Linked DNA regions of Canis lupus familiaris. The protein of the gene in region 1 interacts with the protein of each later gene in a biochemical or structural test. Links are inferred from orthologs where the notes say so. Each region holds a gene or a part of one and is shown in the gene's direction. Other genes may lie near its edges.

Region 1 (3,818 bases):
TTGGGGTCCTAGAATAATGCAGACTCTGGGCATTTCTCAGAGGAAAGCTCCACCCTGCTACTTGGCTGGTAGGTTTGTGATACTGTGGCCTCTTTCAATGGCCTGCTCAGTCAGCCTTCCTGCACGGCCCCATCAAGATTTTCCTGGAACATCATTTTATTTGATATTAAATGTTTTTTTTAAATTTTTATTTATTTATGATAGTCACACACAGAGAGAGAGAGAGAGAGAGAGAGAGGCAGAGACACAGGCAGAGGGAGAAGCAGGCTCCAAGCACCGGGAGCCCGACGTGGGATTCGATCCCGGGTCTCCAGGATCGCGCCCTGGGCCAAAGGCAGGCGCTAAACCGCTGCACCACCCAGGGATCCCTATTTGATATTTTCTAAACGAAAGAAAAATTGGATCGGTCATCCATCTTTTATAACATACGGATTTATACTTCGTGAAAGTCTCTTAGGGAACTCAGGCTTAGTCACACTGCGCTGTGACTGTACTAAATCACCTTTATTTGAAAGCATTCGAGGACAAGAAAACCAATACCAAACCCAGCTGAATGGTAGAAATACTCCCTGTGCGAGGCCTCCATGTGTTTAAGGAAAGAACATGAACGCAGAACCTGGCACACAGGTGAAGCACAGAGCATTTGCTCACTGACTCTCGTAGTCTGAGGGTTAAGAGTCACACTGGCTGCTTCTCTGGGCCCAGTGAGGACCTCCCCGTGCCTTAGTTTCTTCAGCTGTAACGTGGGGACGCCGACGTACCCACCTCACCGAGTCCTTACGATGATCCGAATAAGATCATGTTTTAAGTGTCCCGCCCGGCCTGTAGCAATTGCTCTATGTTTTGGAAGTAAGCAAAGGAAATAAGCCAATGGGCGGGGGGAGCTTGGCAAACCCAGGCTGGACAGTCTGGTACGAGGCGGGCGACCTGGGAGACCTGGCGCTGTCCCTGCCCGTGTGTCTGGGCCCCGCCGGCTGCGCGCTCCTGCCGCTCCCTGCACCTCTCCGCCTGCCACTTGGCCCTGCCCGACTCTGCTCTCTCCCCAGTTCCCATGCTGCCCATCCAGGCGCAGGCCCCACCCCCCAAGGACCCGGACTCCAGCTCGGACTCAGACTATGAGCACTATGACTTCAGCACCCAGCCTCCCGTGGCCCTGACCACCTTTTACAGTGAGTGCCCGGGCCCGGGCTCCTGGGAGCCCCACCCCACCCCCAACCAGGGAGAGGATCCCGTTGGCTGGGGAGCTCCGCGGGGCCCACCAGGTCACCCTGCATGCTGTCCGTGGAGTGTCCCTTGACTCAAAGTGGCCCTACGCTGAAGCTCTCCAGGTGTTTCGTGACTCTAGAGGCCCCTCTGTGTCTTCGACCTCCTTCCCTCCTGCCTTTGTCCGGCCACACAGGGTCTTAGGACTTGTCCCTTGACACTCACCTCCAGGGTGGCCTTGTCTGTGTGAAGCAAGGAAGTCCAGGCAAGAGACACGTTCAGACGGCTTCTCACAGGCTCACGCCCCTTCTGTGCCCCCTCCTGCCCATCAACCTCACCCCTTCCCCCACCTTGCTGGGGAGCCCAGTTTAAACCCCCAGCTGACTTTTCCAGCTCTCCTCCCTGCCTGCTGGGGACTGGAGGAGGATAGACAGTGCTTAAGGCAGGGCCCAGGCAATGCTGGACATTAGAGCAAAGAATCCCACACCTATGGGGGACTCCCTTGGGAGCTCATCAAACATCCCCCAGCTTCCCTCCGGGACCCACCCTATGAGTTAGGATGAGAGTTTGTGTGTCACCGGCGCCCCCAAACAATGGCATCCTGAGAAGTTGGCAGGGACCAGCCTTCCTCTCTCTTGCTGCTGTGTAGTCCCTAAGATGTTGCGCTCATCAACATGGTCCAGAACGGCTCACTGCCATTTCCACCTCCTGGACAGCAGCAGGGGGAGGGAAGACGAGGCGGGCTCAGCACTGACAGGCAGGGCACCAAGGATGCCCCCTCACTGCCACGCTCAGCCTTGCCCACCACAGTCTAACTCCCCAGCTGCAGGAGAGGCCACAGACGAAGCTTCTATCCTGGGCAGCTGTGTGTCCAGATGAAGGCCAGAGGGTCTGCCCTTAGCGGGGTGGAGAATAGAGATTAGTAGGGACGCTGGTCGTCTGTGCCTCACCTGCTGGACCAGGGCCTCTGCGGAAGGAGGTGGCTGACTGTGCTTCTGCCTTGCCATGCACCAGCATTTGGGAGCCACCAGGGTGAGGCATCCTTGGAACCTGAGGTTCTGCTCTCAGGCATGCAAGATGCTAGATCGAGAGTCTAAAATCCCATGACACTGCGAGTGACGTTCTATATACCAGGTTTGAGAGCGCAGACTCCAAGGTCCCAGGTTCTCAAGTCCTTAAGATTCAACAGATCCATATCACGTCTCCAGTTCTCGAGCAAAAGTTCCCCAGAGCCTAGGAGGCAGGGATTCCAGACCTCCGGGCTTCCACTCTGCCCTGGCTGGGGCACCGTCTGCCCTCTTCCTGCCCACAGCCCCCAGGGCACAAGGAGACAGCCCAGGACTCTCCCTGTTTCCTTAAGCAGAAGGAGGGGTATCTGGGGCAAGGCACAAGGCACTAGGGTTTTGGGCAGAAGCAACCTCATCCCGTGCTGGTTAAAGACTGAGATTCAGGACTGGCTGGACTCGGATAAGAGCCCGGGAGCTGACGGAAGTGCTAACCCCTCTGTACTTCTGGGCTTGTCCTTCCACACTATTCAGCCCCAGGGCACCCCTGGAAGTGCCAAGGCACTGCAGCCCTTCCTGTAGGCTCCGGGGGCGAGGAGGTAGGTCTTCACCCCCCCTCACCACCACTCTGCTTGTAGATTCCCAGCGGCACCGCATCACAGACGAGGAGGTCCAGCAGAACCGGTTCCAGATGCCCCTCCTGGAAGAAGCTGAGGAGGTCCAGCAGAACCAGTTCCAGATGCTCCCCCCGGAGGAAGGTGAGTCAGGCTGGGGAGGTGCACGGAGGCAGTGATAACGATGTCAACCTTGACTCCGGACCTAGCAACTCAGCTCACCTTGAGAAATGCCAACAGCAGCCCCCCTCGATAGCTCCTTTCTGATTTTAACATTCCGCTTGGCCATTAGTTCTTTCTTGGGTCTAATTTGAAGCCCTCTTGCTGCATTGCTGCTTCTTTCCTCACCATTCTCCCTTTCCTGGGCCAGGACTTGAAGAGATGAACGTGTCCCAGGTCCCACCCATTGGTGCTGGACACTACATGGCAAACACCCCCTCCCTGGGCTCTCAACACCGCCCAAGGAGCAGCAGTGAATCCAGCACATCCTCTGGGGAGGATTACTGCAATAGCCCCAGCAGCAGGCTACCTCCGTGGACCCCCCAGGTGTTTTCTGCAGAGAGGAGCCCCCACCTGGAGCAGCCCCCGAACCTGGAGCTGGCTGGCTCCCAAGCTACTTTTTCAGGTGAGCTGGGCCCAGGAGGATCCCGTGTGTGCCCCAGTTCCCATCCTATAGCTGACCTGGCTGGAGGAAGCATAAAGCTGGAAGCCCTGAGCCAGGCTGAGCTCAGGATTCTAGCCCCAGCACAAGTCTCCACCCCTCTCCGGGCCCTCACCTCCTCATTCATGGTCAAGCCAGGAACTGGAGTCTTGTGAGTCATGAGGGCTTCCCAGCTCTGGCAGCTCTCGAGCTGGCTGTCTCCAGGCAGAGTGATTGGTTCTCGGGGTTTCCAGCAGGGCCCTTGGCTGATGACAGCTCCAGCACTTCATCCGGGGAGTGGTACCAGAACTTCCAGCCGCCGCCCCAGCCCCCCTCAACGGAGCAGTTTGAGTGTCC
Region 2 (3,818 bases), on another chromosome or scaffold:
TTGTATAAGTAACGTCTTAGCTGTCACAATTTTGACTTGAATTAAAAGAGCAAATGAGACAAGATAGTAAAAATGCTAAAAATTTTATCTTTTCAAAGCACAAGTTTGCATGTTACTTATAGTAGTCGTAAGCCTTAATTATTTTTAATAAGAAAAAATAACCAGATTGACTTTCTTTTCAGAAATCCTTGACAGTGTCTGTAATTGCCCGGACTTCTCTTCTCTGTTGTAGATGAAAACAGAGAAAAGGTGAATGACCAGGCAAAACTGATCGTGGGGATCGTCGTTGGTCTCCTCCTGGCTGCCCTAGTTGCTGGTGTTGTCTACTGGCTGTACATGAAGAAATCAAAGTAAGTTATGGAAAGAAGACCTCATTTGTTCACTGACTTCCCCTGGGAGAATTATTAAAACAGTTTGTCACTGTTCTGTAAGAGGAAAGGCGTGGCCCTCAAATCAGGGTGATCATCATGTTCTGCTTGCAGCTCACAGTGACTGCCTTGCCAGCATTGGAGAATTGCCTTGGGGTGTGATTTCACATGTGTCCCCTTATTTTTCTCAGTCAGTAGTCTAAATTCAATTATTTGATTTCTTTTTTTTTTTTTTCGGTGCCTAGGGGGACATTTTAAAAAGCTTATACTTCCAAAAGGTCAACCATTCTAAGCCATGTGACTAAGGTTGGTGGACATTAATTAAAAGTGGTTAGTAAATCCTGTGGGAGTGGCCGGGTGCCTGCAGTAACAGGTCTGGCCAGCAGTGAAACAGTTGGCGAGGTGGTATTATCTTGTCACTTCTCTGTTCTCGTTAAGTCACTTTAGTCCATAAAAGGATTTTATTCAGAGGGGAAAATAACCCTCGTTCTTTTTTCTGCAATTCAAAAAGGAAATAATTAGACAAAGTACGAAGACTGCTTTAAAAATTATTTAGATGGTGTTTAGATTAAAAATTATTAGTCATAAATAATACAGATAGATCCAACTTTATAATATCTAATAGTGGTTTATAATGAAAATCTAATTAACCAAAGGAGATTCTTAACATACACACATTTTTAATATTCCTCATCACCCCAGCCTTGACTGCAGATTTGAGTGGGCACCTAGCATTTGCATTTTTAAAGTTTTGTTAGTGATTCTGTGGTATACCATTGGTTTCAAACATGAGGAAATTGATTTTTGCAAGGGGATGGATATAGCTAGTGGCAACTCTGGGCTTAATTTTATATTTTCTTGATGTCCGGTATCACCCCCTTTCAGCAACTCAGGTAGGTTAACTTAAAAGAAAATCAAAAGGAAAAGCAGCCTGAATAAGACCCATGATCCTACCTTGTAAAGAAAGCCGTTTTAGTGAAGAAAGTAATATTCAAAAGGAGCTGCCATCAAAGGGAGGCAATAGCTCAGAAATTTTTAAGGTCACATAGTATGAGCTTGCATTGAGTTCTGTTTTGATCCTGCCATCATCTCTGAAGTAGATACCGTTATTACTCATATTCTACATTTGAAAGAATTAAGGCAGAGGATGGTTAAATGACTTGCTTGAGGTTACACAGTTCATAGGGGCCAAAGTTGTATTTGATTTCAGGCAGTGCTGTTTCAGCATCTTTGTGCTTAATCACTAGTTCTTATTTTCTCTCACCATGCCTTCCTTTTTCTCTGTTTTTCGGTCATGCAAGGCAGAAACGTCTTCCTAATATGTGTTGTAGTTGATGAATTTGTCCACTCTCACATCGGGGCACAGTCACTTCTGATCTTGACACCTCACTACTCAATCTTGAGCGGCCCCCACCGTCACTTGGTGACAAATGTGTTCCTTTTTGCAGTGACCTTTTTACCTACCAACACTTCATGTGGGTTTGTGTCCATGGTTCCTGTGGAAACTTTAGAAGATTGCCTGTACCATGTGCATGAAAGGAAATGCAAACAGTTGCCCAGAGGCAGTATCTTATTAAAATTCTCCTTCTATGTGTATAAGTTTCTTGCTGGTCAAAATCTTATTCTCTCCTTATAATCTGCTCTACAGTACTCACAAATTAACATCTTGGGCTCTGGGGTATTTCCATCTTATTTACTTAGGATTTCTGATGCATTCCAATATAGTTTTATTTCTTAAAAGAATAAAAAAATGAAATTTCTCTGTATCCTGGAATTGAGCTGAAAAATAAACAGCAGTTCTCTACATTATGGCCAAATAAGCATTAAATTTTTGGAACATCCTCAACATTCTTAATCATCCTATTCTAATGGCCAAGATCACATTAGACCCCATTTATCCTTCTCTGTATAAAAAAGGAAATTATGTGTGTGGGATTTTGTTGTTTCTTCATTGGTTATTATCACATGATGACCCAAAATTAAAATCATGGATAAATAAATGCTGGACACTTGGCTTCATGGTGTCTTTAGGTTAAGGGTTAAGACTTCATGGATTTCCATTAAAGTACCTCATTAAATTAAGCACGGATTTTACCATCTGCCTTGACCATTTGTCGAAATAATTGTTATTTAATTGAAAAGCATATCAATTTTGCCAGAGTTAATATTATTTATAATATCAAGGTAATAAATTAGAATTCTCATCCTAAGCATCAAAGTGCTTTTATGAAAAATTTGTGAAACTCTTAAGATTTGCCATGTTTTCTGCCTTCCTGATAGGTCACTCCTTGCTAGTGCCCTCTGAGATAAGCCAGCATTTTTGCAATATGAGTTGTTGTTAATCCCTGTGTCCAGAGTAAGTGCACTTTTGTAGTAAGAGCTTTCAAGTTAAGAATTGCTAAGGCCATTTTGCGGTCTAGTATGTTCTTTTTCTTCTTTTCTACATAATAACTTCACCTTTATGAATCAATACGAGGATTTCATTACTATCTTTAGCTCTTTCATCACCATTTTACATGAGTAGAAGACATTTTTTAATAAAGATATAGAGCTTTTCCCTAGATATATACCCCTTTGTTTACCATCTTGAAAAATAATACCATTAACGATCTCGTGAGTCACCATTATGACAAACACTTTGAACAAAAGGTATGAGCTAAACATTTTATCTAAAAACCTCAGTGATACAACTCACAGAGCAGGGGAGTTTTAAACAACATTCAGGGGAAGTTCTCTGCATTGGCATTTTAAAAAGTCAGTGGAGAGAGAGGAGAGAAATAATCTTTTATGCCCAAGGAGAACTTAAAGAGTACATTTGTAACAGTCCTAGTGATACTTAGCAAATATTCATAACCCATTCCATTAGTGTGAGCTACATATTTTTATATCTATTTCAAATGTGGAGAGCTACAGCAAGAAATGCTTAGTAGTTGTACTTGGCATTGTGTTCTGGTATATTCATTGGAGAGTTAGGACTCAGGATTCCTCTGCTGCTTTGAATCATATAAATTCTCACTGGAAGCTGTTTCTCTAAATCGGCTGTTTTTTGTTAATGAAAATGAATGACTGATCATTTCCTGTGTATGTAGGGTATTTACTCACAGTTCTAGGCAAAAAGCATTAATTGACTAAGCCTACTTCATGTCTAGTTATTTAATAGATAGGAGAAAAAAAAATAAAAATAAAAAATAAAAAATAAAAAAAAATAGATAGGAGAACATTAAAGAATGAGGACTGATTCAATTACTATTTTTTATTATGTTCTCGATTTCTCTCTATCCTGTCCCCTGAACATTGTTTTTAGCTATGCAGGAAGTTACCGGCTACTATTTGAGTTCCAAATCCTCTCATATACCTTGTAGTGCAATAACTAATGAAAAATTAAGAGAACCAAAGATAAAGGAAAAATATAAAGGCAACATGATGTAGCCACTAACTTATTCAGACATT

The links.
Region 2: the proteins of CD6 (region 1) and ALCAM form a complex in vitro, tested with the Homo sapiens proteins (4 studies listed by BioGRID and IntAct). The link is inferred for Canis lupus familiaris from reciprocal best matches to the Homo sapiens genes CD6 and ALCAM.

Annotation. Positions count from the first base shown.
Region 1 is NC_049239.1:55,906,808-55,910,625, reverse strand, and holds part of CD6 (T-cell differentiation antigen CD6), read left to right. Parts: intron 1-1,046; coding exon 1,047-1,169; intron 1,170-2,845; coding exon 2,846-2,965; intron 2,966-3,191; coding exon 3,192-3,446; intron 3,447-3,715; coding exon 3,716-3,818.
Region 2 is NC_049254.1:11,674,734-11,678,551, forward strand, and holds part of ALCAM (CD166 antigen precursor), read left to right. Parts: intron 1-232; coding exon 233-350; intron 351-3,818. UniProt on the Homo sapiens protein: Cell adhesion molecule that mediates both heterotypic cell-cell contacts via its interaction with CD6, as well as homotypic cell-cell contacts. Promotes T-cell activation and proliferation via its interactions with CD6.